2 linked regions of the Danio rerio genome follow. The protein of the gene in region 1 interacts with the protein of each later gene in a biochemical or structural test. Links are inferred from orthologs where the notes say so. Each region holds a gene or a part of one and is shown in the gene's direction. Other genes may lie near its edges.

The links.
Region 2: the proteins of rpa2 (region 1) and rfwd3 form a complex in vitro, tested with the Homo sapiens proteins (3 studies listed by BioGRID, with this or other methods). The link is inferred for Danio rerio from reciprocal best matches to the Homo sapiens genes RPA2 and RFWD3.

The regions. Positions count from the first base shown.
Region 1 is NC_133191.1:4,969,045-4,978,168, reverse strand, and holds the start of rpa2 (replication protein A 32 kDa subunit), read left to right. Parts: upstream 1-4,036; 5' UTR 4,037-4,170; coding exon 4,171-4,183; intron 4,184-4,406; coding exon 4,407-4,498; intron 4,499-6,096; coding exon 6,097-6,198; intron 6,199-9,124. Other genes in the region: ube3d (E3 ubiquitin-protein ligase E3D), read right to left, coding at 452-654, 3,504-3,580. UniProt on the Homo sapiens protein: As part of the heterotrimeric replication protein A complex (RPA/RP-A), binds and stabilizes single-stranded DNA intermediates that form during DNA replication or upon DNA stress.
Region 2 is NC_133200.1:39,977,363-39,985,815, reverse strand, and holds part of rfwd3 (E3 ubiquitin-protein ligase RFWD3), read left to right. Parts: intron 1-231; 5' UTR 232-914; intron 915-1,321; 5' UTR 1,322-1,595; coding exon 1,596-1,735; intron 1,736-2,380; coding exon 2,381-2,553; intron 2,554-2,869; coding exon 2,870-2,928; intron 2,929-3,040; coding exon 3,041-3,247; intron 3,248-5,828; coding exon 5,829-5,920; intron 5,921-6,053; coding exon 6,054-6,168; intron 6,169-6,430; coding exon 6,431-6,638; intron 6,639-8,453. UniProt on the Homo sapiens protein: E3 ubiquitin-protein ligase required for the repair of DNA interstrand cross-links (ICL) in response to DNA damage. Plays a key role in RPA-mediated DNA damage signaling and repair.

The DNA.
Region 1 (9,124 bases):
GTCAGAAGATTTGATTAGAAACTGAATTTTGAAGTGACGAGAATAAATTGATCCATTTAAGGCGGTAGCGACAAACTGCAAGCTTTACATCAGTGTTTCTCAACCATGTTCCTGGAAGACCACCAGCTCTGCACATTTTCCATGTCTCCTTAACCAAACACACCTGATTCAGATCATCAGCTCAACAGCAGAGACTGAAAGACCTGTAATGGGTGTGACAAAGGAGACACCCAAAACATGCAGTGTTGGTGGTCCTCTAGGAACATGGTTGAGAAACACAGCTTTACATGCTTTTATCAGTTTTATATCTTCTAAATGCAAATGTTGTCACTGTTTTAGTGCGCACTAGCTTATAGATATGCTAAACACTAACAATACTGATGCTAACATCTAAAAACATATCTTTTTATTTCATGGGACCTGTATTGATGTGAAAGATCTTAGCGTGTACCTGTTGGCTGCTCCACTTTTAGACGCAGTCTGTAATGGGAGCCTTGTTCAGAGTTTGCTGGGCTTTTCTGCTTCTGCGCCTCCACCAGACTGACTCCAGGTGTGAGGGTCACCTGAAAGCTGCTGTCAGGAGTCTGGATGTTCAGGATGGAGTCTGGTTTGGATTCGATCTTCACATCTGCACCATCACCGATGACGTCACTGCTGAGGAGGTCAAACGTGAAGTGAAGCCCTAATCATACGTACAACTACACTGTAAATAATGCTGGCTTCCACACAATCGATGTGTTGGGACAACATGAAGGAATTCATTCATTCATTCGTTTATTTTTCTTTTGGCTTAGTTTCTTTAGTAATCAGGGGTCATCACAGCGGAATGAACCGCCGACTTATCCAGCATATGTTTTACGCAGTGGATGCCCTTCCAGTTGCAACCCATCACAGGGAAACACACATACACACGTACTCTTCACCATCAGCACATGTTTTGTGAGGGAAACCAGAGCACCCGGAGGAAACCCAAACAAACAGAACATGCAAACTCCACACAGAAACGCCAACTGACCCAGCCGAGGCTCGAACCAATGACCTTCTTGCTGTGAGGCGATAGTGCTACCCACTGCGCCACGTGTTGGTGTGGGTTTCCTTCAGGTACTCCAGTTTTCCCCACAGTCCAAACACATGCGCTATAAGTGAATTGAATAAACTAAATTGGCCATACTGTATGCGTGTATGAATGTTTCCCAGTACTGGGGTTGCAGCTGGAAGGGCATCCTCTGTGTAAAACATATACTGGATAAGTTGGCGGTTCATTCCACTGTGGTAACGCCTGATGAATAGTGACTAAGCCGAAGGAAAATAAATGAACGAATGATTGAACTTGAACAAGCAGCAATGTTTTTGAGTGTAGTCTAGATTAAGTAAAATCTTAATGAGTTAAAAGTTAGGGTAGACTCTCTCAAGAAACAATTAAGTGAGTTTATTTAACATAACATTGGATTATTCAACTTAATATACTTTCCCAGAGATGGGTTGCGGCTGGAAGGGCATCCGCTGCGTAAAAACTTGCTGGATAAGTTGGCGGTTTATTCCGCTGTGGCGACCCCGGATTAATAAAGGGACTAAGCCGACAAGAAAATTAATGAATTAACTTAATATACCATTATATTATGGGGCTGCCGAATTCTTGATTCTGATTGGCTGATGAGCAGGCAGTTATTTTCAGATAAAAGCACAGCTGAAGTAGTTCCGGCAGGTTTTTAAGCAAATTACAGTTCCATATCTCTACGCCGAATCTAAATGATGAGTTATTTCACAGCTACAACACACAAATCACATCAGAGCACTCTAAAAAAACAAAACTTTACATTAGACAGCTGAGTAAATCCATTTTTTACAGTCAAAACTTTGGATGAAATGTGTGAGAAACTACAAAAACCTGTTAGATAACCATTTCTCTGAATTTTAAGAGGCTTAAAAACTAAAAGTGGAGTTGTAGCCAGTTACTTGGAAAAACTACATTTTTCTAAAAGTAAATATAACAGCATTAAATAAGCTGTCTGTTGCTGAAATAAAGTAAACGCTGCGACATTTGTCTCAACAAGTTATTATTACATTGTCTAACTCAGTGCTTCCCAAAGTGGGGGTCACGAGACAATAACATGGGGGTCGCTTGGTGATTTTAAAAAGTCAAATAACTTTTATTAAACTATTAGAATTACCATATTTTATCATGGAGGATGATCTGTGATTGGTGGTCTCCAAACCTAAACTAAGAATAGACTAAACATAGAATAAACATTGTGCCCACCAGCCTCATTGGGTAAGGTTAATATTAAATAAAACAAATTAAAAAATGACTATAAATATTTTAAGCAAATTACAGTTCCATATCTCCAATCTAAATGATGAGTTATTTCACAGCTACAAGACACAAATCACATCAGAGCACTCTAAAAAAACAATACTTTACATTAGACAGCTGAGTAAATCCATTTTTACAGTCAAGACGTTGCATGAAATGTGTAAGAAACTAAAAAAATCTTTTAGAGAACCATTTTTTCAAATTTCGTGAGGCTTAAAAACTAAAAATGAAGTTGTAGTCAGTCACTTAGAAAAAAATATATTTTTGTAAAGAAAATAAATTAAACGCTGAGGCATTTGTCTCCTCAAGTTATAATTAGATTGTCTAACTCAGTGGTTCCCAAAGTTTATATTCGCACATTTGTTCATTTAGCAGTCTCTATATTGTTTACCATGTTACTTTGAATATTCGATCGGAATTAGCATGCAAGTTTGACTTCTAAACAATATTAACACTGTCTAATTCACTGTGAACAATGTTGTACTTTCATAATCATTTGCTGCTAAAGTGCTAATATGATTTCCCTATTTAGAATTTGCAAAGAATACTTTTCTGAAATTATATTATTAAGGAGAATGTCTGAATATCTCAATTTAAACCAGCTTTACCTCTATGGAATTATGTGGAACCCTGCATATTGTACAGTGCATGAAGAGACTTAGGATGAAATGTGTTAGAAATCAATTTCTTCGATTTTAAGAGGTCTAAAGTTAACAGCAACGTTAGTCATAAAGTTATTTTTCATAAAGAAAATATCATGGCGTTAAATAAGCTGTCCAACTATCTGGTCAATACTGCCATCTAGTGTTTCATTGTGGCATTTCTAACTGTTTTATCTTATAGAGCTAGTGTAAAAAATAAAACAGTATGCAATAGTATAATATATATAATTCAGTATACTATATAAATAATTTTAAAACCTAGCTATAAACATTTAAACGACTATATTTTAGTACTCTCTAACTTAGTGTTCCCAAAGTCTGCCTCCTGAAATTGTATAACCTTTTATTCCAGTAAATAAACTCAAAATAAGCTGTAACGTTACCCTAGTACGTTAAAAGAAATCCCGTTGAATCCCTGGGTGCTAAGTGTAACTGTACATGACATAATTCACTCACATACACTGATGAAACACTGCATTGACAGTCAGTGACTATGAGAGAGCCAAAGTAGAAGAGAAAAACTTTACCGAATGAACAAAAGGCCGCTTTGCAGCTTCTGTCTGAGCTCAATAAAGAGGACATCTGTGTTCGCAGTCTCTTCCATTGGTATTTCTTTACAGAAGCTATGGATTCATCGATTCTACTCATAAATCCCACGCGACACACAAAACAACGTGACGACAAACTGTCTGCGACACCGTCATTTCATATTAAGAGTCTTCAGAATTCAGTTTGCATCTGTTCAGTGTTAACGTTACTTTTAAAAACATTTTAAAAAACGCTGTTTTCAAACATATTTGGACAGTTATTATAATTATTTTATTTTAATATATAAACAATATATGACTGGGCTTAGCCCGCTTACATGCTTTAACTATTCCAAAACATATGAGAACGAGCGTAAACGTTTTAATGTAAATTTCAGTGAAGAAAGATTACAGATTTTTTGTTGTTTTTATTTATTTTTTTATGCTTTATTTTTATTTAAAAACAATTTTAACAACATACAAGCTTCTGTGGACTTTTACAGTATACGTGTGGGACTTTCGCGGCAGATGACACACGCGCACGCGTACTGTGAGCGCGCGGACTTCGAGACGTGACGTCAAACTGTGCGCGATCAGTCGTGGCGGGAGATTTTCGAGTGTCTTGTCGGTCTGCTTCGCATTCAGAAGAAAAACATTCACGAGTGAAATGTGGAACCAAGGTACGTGCTTTAGAAATCACTTTATTTTGGCTTTAGAGCTGAGTTTACTCTGCTAGTCCGCTAATGAGAGTCAGAAAGCTCTGTTATACAGTGTCAGTGTGATGTCGGTTAGCGGTGTGTTGTCAAGGTCTGTTTTTAACGCACTCTTACGTTACTGCCAGTCGGACGGGGTTTTTAACCAATAAGTCGTTTTGATTGAAATATGGTATTCATATTTTTGCAGGTAAATACGGAGAGGCCAGTATGGCTGGGTACACACAGTCTCCTGGAGGATTCGGGTCACCAGCCGCTTCTCAAGGAGGAGACAAAAAGGGGGTCAGTATATAAATAACTTTAAACACCTATATATATATATATATATATATATATATATATATATATATATATATTGAGGTAAAGTTGGTTTTATATTCGCACATTCGTTCAGTGACAACTTGTGACATGCTCCTCATATTGTTTACCATGGTACTTTAAATATTTGGTCTGAAATCACTTGTAAACATGACTTCAAAACAACATTAACACCATTTATTTGACTGTAAACAATGCTGTACTTTGATAGTCACTAGCTGATAATATGATTTTAGCATTTAAAATTTGCATAAATACTTTGTGACGTTTTATCTTTAAGGAGAATGTGCGAATATTAAACCCACCTTACCTCAATTGTGTGGGGTTCATATTAAATTCCTCCAATACCATATTTAATTCTGTTTAAATATTTAATTGCAGTTAATACGACTTGAGTATATTTTGTTTAAACTACATATATTTGTAAATATTACCCATAGTTTTCTATAATAGCACTTTTAACTTATCCCTATATCGTGCACTTTCTAAACTGCATTTTGAAATGACAAAAAAAGTAAAAAATACAAGTTAAATGTTCACTTCAATGTTTCAGACTATTTTTGTGACAACGAAATGTTAAAAAATGTGTGAAAAAATTGTTTGGTATTAAGCTCAACAAGTTTTTGTGTAATTAAACAAAAGCAAATACCTGTTATGTACTTCCTGATTATATAGTTAAAAGAGTAATTTAATAAACTAAATTTGGTTATAATTTAACTTTTTGTTAACAAATGGGTAAAGTGAAATGTTTTGCAGAACAGTTAATAAATATTAAGATTTCAAATGACAGGTATAAAATTTAGAGTTTGAGACTAAACTAAATTTAGTGGCCATCTTATGTAACTTGAAGTAAATTGAAATAAAATATTTATTAGTTGTTATTTTTGTTTATTATTATATTTCTTTGCTTAAAATAAAAGCGACACATCGTAAAAAAAGTTAAAACAGACAATAGATTTGCTCAAACTATTTTTTATTATCATTTAATGCACTTTTTAATACAATACAAGCCTAAACGTTGAGTTTAAGCTATTAAGCTAAACATTTAAGCTATTTTCTGTTATTTAAAAAATAAATAAAATATAAAAGATTTAGAAATTCTTTTATGAAGTATTTAATTTTCATTGCCAAAATTGTCTTTGTCTTTCATCTCAATGTTTAGGTCTGTTTTTGCTTGTGTAAATACTGAATAATATTTAATAAGGTATATAAATCATATCTTTTATAGAAGGTTTTTTCAGTATATTTCAATAATTTTCAAGTCGCTGTTTAAATTTAGGCAAACAAACTTATAACTTTAATGCAGTATTGATATGTTTGGGGACAATTCTGTTTGTGTAAAAATAATACGACTTTCACTATTTTGGCCTAATACATCTTTTGTGTAGCTGTTAGAATGACCGTAGAGAGAGTAGTATTGTTATTTTAACAGTACTTATTTGAGTCATTATCGTGTTGTTTAAGTGATTATGAAAACAGTGGGAAATCAGTGTAGTATTGTGATCTTCATGTGTGATGCTGTAAAGTGTAACAGTGATGTGTGTGTGTGTGTGTGTGTTCAGAGGACACGAGCGCAGCAGATCGTTCCCTGTACTGTATCTCAGCTGTTGTCGGCGGTGCAGGCTGAGGACGTCTTTAAAGTGGGAGAGGTGGAGATCGCACAGGTCAGTCTGAAGAATCACTAAATATCCACATTTTTATTGAAAGGGTTTCCATTTTATGGAGCCAGATCAGTCTCAAAAGTAATATATTTATAAAAAAGAATTCATTCACATATAAAAAATCTAATTCATAACTTCAAAACACGATTCATCTCTTATTACATTGTATTTAAAGTGCTGCATTGTATGTGGTTTGGATGTTTTTATTACATTACATATACAATAATAAAAAAAACAAATAAAAGAATTGCCACCCTAGTTTAAAGGGATTGTTCATCCAAAAATGAAAATTTCCTCACTCTTTACTCTCCCTCAAGCGTTTCCAAACCTTTGTGTTCAGTTCTTCTGTTGAAGAAGATATTTTGAAAGATGTTGGAAATCTGTAACCATTGACTTCCATTGTAGGAAAAACGAATACTATGTAGGGATGTAATGATTCACCTGACTCAAGAGTTTATTCACAATACACAATTTATTCATGATTTTTAAACAAAACTATTCGAAACAAATTTAAGGTAAAGAGCTCTTTCATTCCTTATTTAAATGCAGCACATCGTTTGCAAAATAATAATTTTTTAAAATTTAAATTAATTGTAATTTAATTTTAAATTAAAAAATAAAATACAAAGATAATAGAAACTAAAGAAGACTCGTTAATAGAAACAAGCTAAAACTGTGACTGTGCTGGCGTTTTGCATTTTTAAAAAAGAAAGAAATATCAGCAAATCTTTGCTTTCTGGCATAAGCTGAGGCCTTTGCATATTTACAATGTGTCCTGCTGATGAGAAAAACTGTTTCACTGAGATGGCTGGTGTGGAGAGGAAAGCCTTTGCTAAACCAGAGAGCAGGGTGTACAGAGGGGGTCAGTAGGCCGTCTGATCCAGGGGACTGGCTACTGACAGACAATACTGATTAGAAAATTACAAATTGTATATCAGGATAGCAAATTTAGATGCTAATTTTTCAATATGCATAAACTAATTTGAAAAGGATGGTAAACATAGTCTAATACCTGCTTCTATAACAGAACAACTTTCTCTTTCAGTCGGAAAAATATCTTCACACTTTCGTTACGAAAACACTGATGCACTGTCTGAGCTCCGTAGCACTCTTCGGAGGCGGAGCAAGTGGAGCTTCAAATCATCCAGTCTGCTTGGTGTGACTTATTATTAGTGTTTTTGAGTATAGACGTCTGTGACTGTAGTTTTCTCTGTGCTGATGGTTTATGTGCATCATATTCATGTTCTGTTAGTGTAAGTAAACCTCTTTTTGCAGTATTTGCACACACTTTGTGTTTTGTCTGGTGCACTTCAATGCTGTCATTTTACTCTGCCGCCCCACCTCTTGCTCGCCGCTGACATGCCAGTACAGCGGTATATGTGTGAACCTACACTGGTTTCATGGTTCGGTTACGATTATCATGCCATCGGTTCGGTTAAATTCCATATCACTGTTCATTGACGATGCTTTCCATACAAAATTTGATATTTTACTTAACAGCACAAGAATTCTTTTCTAAAAAATGTATAAATATATTTATATTTCTATACTATTTGTAATACAGTTTTGTCCTTCAATACAAAGTCAGAACTGTCCTTTTAAAAACTCGAGTACATGCACAGAACAACATGAGCATTTATAGCAAATGAACAAATGTAAATATCCTGCTCACTTTATGAGCCCTGTCGAGTAAGTTCTTAAACCCCTATGATTGGTCACGCACTCAACAGAAAGGGCTGCGATTGGCTCTAATGCTCTGGTGCTGTTCACCGTTGAGTGACGTTGATAACGGCATCAGCGATTTACAGCTGATCCATGACTGATGCAGAGGATAAAACTCTTCTGCAGACACACTCGTGTCTGAAGCGCTGTAACTGCCAAGAGGAGAGGAAATGTCTTGCCACCAGGTGAAATGGCAACATTGAGGGAGAGAAATTAAGGCCCAATCCCAATTCTATTTTTGTACCCCTTTCCCCTGGTCCTTACAAGTGAGGGTTAAGGGGAAGGGCTTTAAAATTTACCCCTAAGAATTAGGACAGCACCTGCACACATCATCATGTCCTCGCGATCTCTTGCTTCATATGAGATCAGATGATGGCGACTGCTGGAGTGATTCCAGTTGTGTTATTTATTGGTATTTATCTTCAGGAAATCACTGAAGGCATATATTATGTTATCATAATGATCTAATGTGGCAATGAGATCGTAATACTGTGCATTTACACAGTGGCCATGTTCATCAATGTAAACACACCAAAAACAGCATGAACATTATAGCAGACACTGTAAAAAGCCCATTCCCAGCCATTAGACTTTTCTGACAGGGTATTCCAGTGTCATCGAGTGTCAGAGTGTTGTGGGTCTGCTGTACTGAAGTTATTATTAGGAATTATAGATCGCAAAAAAAATCACAAAATTTAGCAGTTTTTATTTTAGCCCTTTTTTTTTTTTAAGCATGACGGTAAAACATGAACGCGGTTAAGAATATATTAAGACGTGTTTGTTTGTTGTAAAAATTCGTAATAATGACAAAAAAAAATACAAATTTGTGGATCTCCTTACTTCCGGGTGCAGCTGTTGCTGGGGTATTCTGGGAAATGATTCTTACCTCTTGGTTTCTAGTGTGGTCCTAAAAAATCTTTGTTTGAAGGGGTTTATACCCCTTGCTCTTAGCCCTACGCCTTCAAGCTAAAGAGAATTGGGACACCCCTACCCCTTCGAGGGCATACGCAAAACGAGGAGTAGGGGGAAGGGCTAAGGGGTAGAATTGGGATTGGGCCTACGTTTACTTTTATTTTCTCAATCGCAGTGAAATAGGAGCTTCTGCTGTAACTTCAGTCACAGTGAAAGACTGTCCAGCAAACACACACACAGTGAATTGTGCCATTTCTGTGTTTTTAAGTAGTTGGAGCATTTTAATTACTCGCCT
Region 2 (8,453 bases), on another chromosome or scaffold:
TATATATATATATATATATATATATATGTATATATATATATATGTATATATATATATATATATATATGTGTATATATATGTATATATATATATGTATATATATATATATATATATATATATATATATATATATATATATATATAAGCAAAAATGCACACTTTAACCCACAGACATCATCACAAAATATAAATCAGAGAGGTCCGACTTTCTCATACATATCCTCATTTCAGTTGTCAAGTTTTGTAACAAACTATCTATTGAAATAATCAATTTATTAAAAAAACCTTTAGCTAGAAGTATGCACTATAGGCCTACATTATAGAGGAATGACAGACGAACCAGTGTTGTGCCAAGAAATGCACCCCCTCTGAAATGTGCATATATTAACTTAAATTGATTTTAAAAATTAATAATAGTTATGACAACTAATGACTGAGGTGAGTTTCATGAAGGAACCCTTCCCTTACAGAAGATGTATATTTAAATAAATAAATATATTCATTTTAAAGACAACACTGGTCAGATTAATTAAAGTGATGTGTTTAAGATGTGGTTTAGTTGAAAACTGCACCAATTTTGTTTTCAGTTCATTTAAAAGTCACCAAAAGGCCTAATTTTAGTAACGGCCTCATTACAGCAGTCTATACTGCAGTCAATATTTGAGCTTTTCATTTATTTGTAAACCTAGTTTTAAAATAGCTTGATCCATCAAAATAATAATCATATTAGCCGACGTTTTAATCAGTTTTGGCCTTTGATTATTTTTAAATGTAGACTGAGAATGAAGGTGGCGTGTGCATTTACCACAGGCGTTCATTTCTCTTCACAACACCGGGCCTGCAGTCAGATCATGAAGCAGATCTATGTTGATCTTTCTGTCAAGGTTTCAGTGCAGATATGAACACAACAACAGGCTTTATACAACATATTATAAGGTTAAAAGATGAAGGAATGATCAGATGGTAACTTCGCTCAATTTCCCGGACGGATAAACAGCTCTCTGTGATATTTCAGCATGCTTTCACTCTCGTATTCAGCATGAAGCGCACATTTGCTGGTGGAAGTGACGTCCAGCCCTGCTCATAATTCCCTCTTCATACAGCTGCATATATGGCTTTAGGGTGTATGCAGAGTTGGTGTTTCTTCTCTCACTGATGGTTATTGACACTATTTTCTATTTGATATGGTTTCGTTTACAGCATTGATGTTGTAATGTAATTAAAATACAATCAGTTAAACAGACTTCAGTTGCTCAAGCGTAAAACGAGACAAAATACCGTTTACTCGGACGTACCCGTCAGAATCAGCAGGTTAGCGCAGAATCTCCATTGAATATACTGTGGTGAAATAAATGTTCATATTATAAAAAAACGACAGGGAAAATGTAACGCAGTGCTTCTTGTACAATCTGAGACCCACTTTATTTGGGACATCACAAGCATTGCCTGTGGTAAAGTGGGCGGGGCTTGATTTTGTCCATGGTGAGCTGATTGGCTGGTTTGCGTTTGATTGACATGTAAAGTAGTGATGTCATGCATTGAATGATTGCAGTATTGTTGTTGGTGTCTGTACCGCAGTGCTGGTTTCTCTGAGGATGGAGGATATGGAGGTGGTCATGGTCTCTGAATCTGGCAGCAGCACTGAAGAAGAAGAAAACGATGTCGCCGCGTCCGTGCCGGAGGACCGGTCCAGACTGCCGCTGCGGCGAGCCCCCAGGAGGAGACAGATCATCAGGTACCACAGCACTGAACACTAGAGCCCGTCTCCCCATCTCATTAGCATATCCAGCAGCCCTGAGTGAGAAGCAGCCGTCTGTCCATTAGCCATTAGAGTGTTTGAGCTGCTGAAGATAACGTCAGCATAGACTCAGAGGATTATAGATGTGCAGTTCTAGATGCACAGAGACAGGAGCGACATAGACTGACAGATCATCAACACACATGCACAGCACTGACAACACCGCTAGTACCACAGGCCTCTGTAGCTCCGCCCTCTTCTGAATCTCATTAGTCCCATAGGTGCCTGTAGCTCCGCCCACTTCTGAATCTCAATAGTCACACAGGCACTTGTAGCTCCGCCCACTTCTAAATCTCATTTGCATTTAAGGCGACAGTCACCAAAATGCCACAATTAGGATCAAAGCCTGAAATGGTCAGTTTCAGAGAGCTGGAGAACATGATCTGTGTGCTATTCTCAGCTCAAACACACACACACACACACACTCTGGAGACATCACTAAGGCTTTTTAAAACTCCTTTAAGTACCATTTTACATGATCAATTTTAAGTGTGAAGTGAACAAATAGCTCTGGTTGTGTTTTCATTGAGGAATGATTGTCATTTTGTGTGTGTGTGTGTGTGTGTGTGTGTGTGTTGTCAGTCAGCGTCCTCATGCGGAGCGAGTGCGGAGGATTCAGACGCTCCTCCAGAACACACACAACCCGCCGGACACGCACAACCCGCCGGACACACGCACTGATCCTGAGCCAGCCTCCAGCGACAGCGCCGACCAGAGCCGCGTCCAGTCCACAGCGGAGACCAGCAGCCCTGCAGGTCTGAGAATGCTCTTATTAGCACGCCTCATTTAAGCAGCACATCTCCTCTGCTGTGTCTCCATGGCTGTTTTAAATGAACTATAACTATTGGTTGACTGAAATCTGTCAGGTAACAGTTGATTAAATGATGTCATTAACATAATCGATCATAGAAATATATAAATAACTGACTTGTATAAATATGAATTCATGAATAATTGACTCTGTTTTAAGTATAAGCTAGTAGTCTAATCTAGACTTTGTATTAAAGCATAATAAATCAGAAGTGTTTGTAATATTGTCGAGCTGTTTGTGTTCGTGTTGTGTGTGAGCAGGTCCCAGTGTTCCTGCAGCGGCTGAAGCTCCCGCAGTAGAGCTGAAAACAGAGGTGGAGGTGAGCAGAGTGTGGAGTCTGTCTGAAACGCATGCTCTCTGCACAGTGAACAGTGTAGAGTGTGTGTTGTCTGCGCAGTAAAGTGTGTATGTTGTGTTTCTCCTGGTCTCAGGCATCCTCAGACTCCTCCGGCTCGGCCGCAGCGTCTCCCGCAGGTGCAGCAGATGAAGCAGACACTGAAGGCGAGTCCTGCTCCATCTGTTTTGAACCCTGGACCACAGCAGGTGAGCACCGCCTGGCCGCTCTGCGCTGCGGGCACCTGTTCGGTTACGTCTGCATCTCCCGCTGGCTCACGGGCGGAGGGAACAAATGCCCACAGGTGAGCCTCCATCTCCTGCTGCATCATGAAGAAACACCATCATGGCTGACTCTAATGACCATCAGGGAGATTGTTAGTGTTAGAATATCTTGGCAGAGATCTGACTGGGCAGTTGAAAATATCCGTATTGTTGAACAGCTAGACGGACAGATGGATGGATAGACGGTCATGTGTATTCATGTATACAGTGCTCAGTATAAACGAGAGCGCTCCATGTAAACAAATGAGTTTTATATCAAGTCCGAGTTCTGGTGAGGCAGTGGTGCAGTAGGTAGTGCAGCAAGAAGCAAGAAGGTCACTGGTTCGAACCTCGGCTCAGTTGGTGTTTCTGTGTGGAGTTTGCATGTTCTCCCTGCCTTCGTGTGGGTTTCCTCCGGGTGCTACGGTTTCCCCCACAGTCCAAACACATGCGGTACAGGTGAATTGGGTAGGCTAAATTGTCAGTAGTGTATGAGTGTGTGTGTGGATGTTTCCCAGAGATGGGTTGCGGCTAGAAGGGCATCCGCTGCGTAAAAACTTGCTGGATAAGTTGGCAGTTCATTCCGCTGTGGCGACCCCAGATTAATAAAAGCACTAGATATCTGCGCGGGACTAAATTTTGAATCCCGCCCGCATCCGCCAGGTTTTAGCCCGAACCCGACTAAATATATTAAGAATATATCCCGCTTATATTAAGAATTTGTTGTCCCGCTGCCCGACCCGCCCCGGTTTCTGCACGCCGCGCCCGATCCTGCTAAAGAGCGGGGGAGAACAAAACCGAAAATCACCCAACTATACAGTCCAGACAGCCAAGCTGTCTGTATAAACACACACACACACAGACACACACACACACAGACAAAACTCTCTCTCTCATACGCGCGCGCACACACTAACACACACACAGCACCAAGCACACACACACACACAGACAAAGCTCTCTCTCTCATACGCGCACGCACACTAACACATACACAGCACCAAGCACACACACACAGACAAAACTCTCTCTCTCATACGCGCGTGCACACACTAACACACACACAGCACCAAGCGCACACACACACACACAGACAAAGCTCTCTCTCTCATACGCGCGCACTAACACACACACACAGCACCAAGCACACACACACAGACAAAACTCTCTCTCTCATACGCGCGCACTAACACACACAGCACCAAGCACACACACACACACAGCACCAAGCACACACACACAGACAAAACTCTCTCTCTCATACGCGCGCACTAACACACACACAGCACCAAGCACACACACACACAGACAAAACTCTCTCTCTCATACGCGCGCGCACACTAACACACACACAGCACCAAGCACAGACACACAGACAAAACTCTCTCATACTTGCGCGCACTAACACACACAGACAAAGCTCTCTCTCTCTTACTTGCGCGCACTAACACACACACACACAGAGACAAAACTCTCTCTCATACGCACGCACGCGCGCGCGCACTAACACACACACACACACACACACACACACACACACACACACACAGCACCAAGCACACACACAGACAAAACTCTCTCTCTCTCATACGCGCGCACACTAACACACACACACAGACAAAACTCTCTCTCTCATACGCGCGCGCACACTAACACACACACAGCACCAAGCACACACACAGACAAAACTCTCTCTCTCTCATACGCGCGCACACTAACACACACACACAGACAGCTCTCTCTCTCATACTTGCGCGAACTAACACACACACAGCACCAAGCACAGACACACAGACAAAACTCTCTCATACTTGCGCGCACTAACACACACAGACAAAGCTCTCTCTCTCTTACTTGCGCGCACTAACACACACACACACACAGAGACAAAACTCTCTCTCATACGCACGCGCACGCACTAACACACACACACACACACACACACACACACACACACACACACACACACAGCACCAAGCACACACACAGACAAAACTCTCTCTCTCTCTCATACGCGCGCACACTAACACACACACACAGACAAAGCTCTCTCTCTCATACTTGCGCGAACTAACACACACACAGCACCAAGCACACACACACAGACAAAGCTCTCTCTCTCTCTCTCTCTCTCTCTCTCTCTCTCTCTCTCGTGCACTAACACACTCACACAGCACCAAGCACACACACAGGCAAAGCTCTCTCTCTCTCTCATTCGCATAGCTATATCCTACTATATCCTTATATCCTACATTATCCTAATAGCCCGCTCCCGTCCCAAATTAAACCCGTTACCGACCGCTCCCGCGATTTATTCAGAAATTTATTCCTGCGCCGCAGAAATCTGGTCGGGTCCTGCGGCGCCCGGGGGAATGCAGACCTCTAAAAGGGACTAAGCCGACAAGAAAATGAATGAAAGTGCGAGTTCTGTGAGCGCTCGGCTCAGTTATGCTGAACACTGTGTATGCATGTGCATTTTCATTGCATGGTCCTGTATTTCATATACGCTTGTATTAAATAAGGTATCACAACGGCTGAAACTGAACTGGTGGCTCTCTGTAGATGCCCTGACACTGACAGAGGATCCTGGGTTATATTAGTGGTGTTGTTGTGTGTTTTCAGTGTAATAAACCAGCCAAGAAAACTCAGATCATCTTCCTGTACGCGCGCAGGCTGAAGGCGCTGGACAACACAGAGGAGGTGCGGCTCAAGAGGTGCGTTCACGCTCACTGAAGACCATCAAGATGACGATGATGGGGGTTTATTTGTGACTAGCTGTGATGGAACGCATCAGTATAGTTGGCTGGAGGCAGAGCTGATGATGTTTATGTTGCTGGTTGTGTGCAGTCGTCTGGAGCTGGAGCAGGGCTCTCGCAGGATGGAGCAGCTGGAGGTGGCTCAGTGTCGGCAGCAGCTGCAGCTCATGGTGGATGAAAACACGCGGCTGCGCAAAGAAGTCGAGGTGCGTCAACACGTTCATTACAGCGGAAGATGAAATCAGCAGCCCTGCTGGGATATTTGAATTCTGTCTTAAATATTTCCCAAGTGCTGTTTAGCAGAGAAGATCAGATCTACTCGTATGAATTGAATAGATATTAAAGTGAGTGTATTATCATGGGAGGTTGGCTTATATACACCTCTCTGTTTAGTCCATCATCATCATCATCATCATCAGCTTTTCCAGTTCTCAGATGTGTGTGTGTGTGTCTGTCTGTGTATTTCAGGAGCTGCGTCGGTGGAAAGCGCAGGCGTCAGCGGGCTCGTCTCAGGCGGCGTCTCTGTCCTCATCTCAGAGGCAGGATTCTGGGCATTATGTTTTCTCCAAGGCGGTTCTGGTGTCTCAGACGGGCGGCAGTCGAGTTCTGGCTCACTGTGAGCCACTCGGGTGTCTGCTGGCGTCTCAGCCGTCTCCACAGGCCACACTGATGCCAGGTAGCACACGCAAGACGCAGTGCTGAAACAAGAGACTAAAGCTGTCTGTTCTGTTTAAAAATAGTTCCTATGCTAACCATTTAAGATGATATAAGAATTTGTCTCTATTTTGGTTTCTAGTTCTATATACAGCAGCATAAACTAAGACCAGGGGGGTCCAAACTCAGTCCCCGAGGGCCGGTGTCCTGCAGATTTTAGCTCCAACTTGCTTCAACACACCTGCAAGGATGTTTCACTGCCTAGTAAGAGCTTGATTAGCTAGGCCAGCTGTGTCCGATTGGGGTTGGAACTAAACTTTGCAGGACACCGGCCCTCCAGGACCGAGTCTGGACTTACACCATGATCACCTCAGGCACTGATTATGTGCTTTATTCAATGTTAAATGCTGCCAATCTGAGTTTAAACACACGTGACGTGTCATTCAGCGCCGTACTGACAGCAGCAGCAGATCGTTCACCTCAGATCTAGATAATCAAATAGCTAGCAGACGCTTCGAGAATGAACATCAGAACTGTGATTCAGCGCAAACAACATCAGACACTCAGTAGCCGATTAATAATGAATGTTAAAGAGCTTTAAATGTGTATTCAGTAGATTTAAAAGCCTGAAAACTGCTGTTAGGTGCATGACAAACCCTAAAAGCACAGTGTATTTCAGTTTTATCTTTGCTATATTGTGTTCATTTTGTATTGTAAAGTTTTTGTTTTTATTTACGAACCGTACCAAATCTGTGACCAGGGGTCCGTTCTTCGTACGTGGATTACTCAGTTAGCTGGATTTGGATATTGACGATTTGACATGATCCAGGATCGTTTCGTTCTTCAAAGCTGATCAGAGAGTTGTTGTCATGGCAACAGTTCTGCTAGGTCAAACCTGGTCGGGAGCAGGTTCAATTCATATAAACAGGATTAGATCGGCTTAGTTCAAGCAAAGATAATACAGAAAGTATGTTCTGAATTCTGATATTTTCTTACAGTAGTAGTTATAGACACTTGGGAAATGGTACATATTTTTTAACTATATATAAAGTTATAGTCATTAATAAAATAAATAAAGTTATACATATTAATAAAACGTATGCAATCTGCACCCTCGAAATGAAAGTACAAATACTGCCACCTGGTGGTGCAAAGAGAAAACTTATTGATATGAACTTTTTAGATCGCTTTAGTACAAATTGTGTGATAGAAATGCAGAATATGTGATTTTTTTTAAAGCAATAATACATTTATGCAGTCATAAACATGTTTTGATTGTTAATATGCCGGTGATTTGATGCTTCACAATAGTTGCAGACGCCTTTACCAATATGAAAATGCTTTTGTAAACAACCAGTTATTCTTTACACCGATTAAAAAACGGCTACAATAATATAGACAATATTGTCTAAATGTAGAACTAAATACACTGATATGCATTGAAATACATGATGAATACTCTTGACACATGACAGTATAAAGCCTGCAGCTCACAACATATGTGGAAGGTTATTGCGTGTCATATTTAATAAACGGTTTGCTGCTAATTTGATGTAATTTTGCTCACATGAATAATTGAATATTAATCAGATGATGTCATTACGCTGCTGTGCCGTCAGCCAATCGTTGCACTGCTGATCATGATTTCTAGGATCGATAGATCTGTCCTTCACAACACATGCAGCGATCTCAGATCAGTTTATCCAGACATTCTAATCTGATTCGCGAACTTGTTTGAAGAACCAAATTAGCGAGAGATCAAGATTAAAAGATCCAGCATCTGCCAAATAATCTTAGATCATTTTAGCGAGGTACGAAGAACGGACCCCAAACCCCG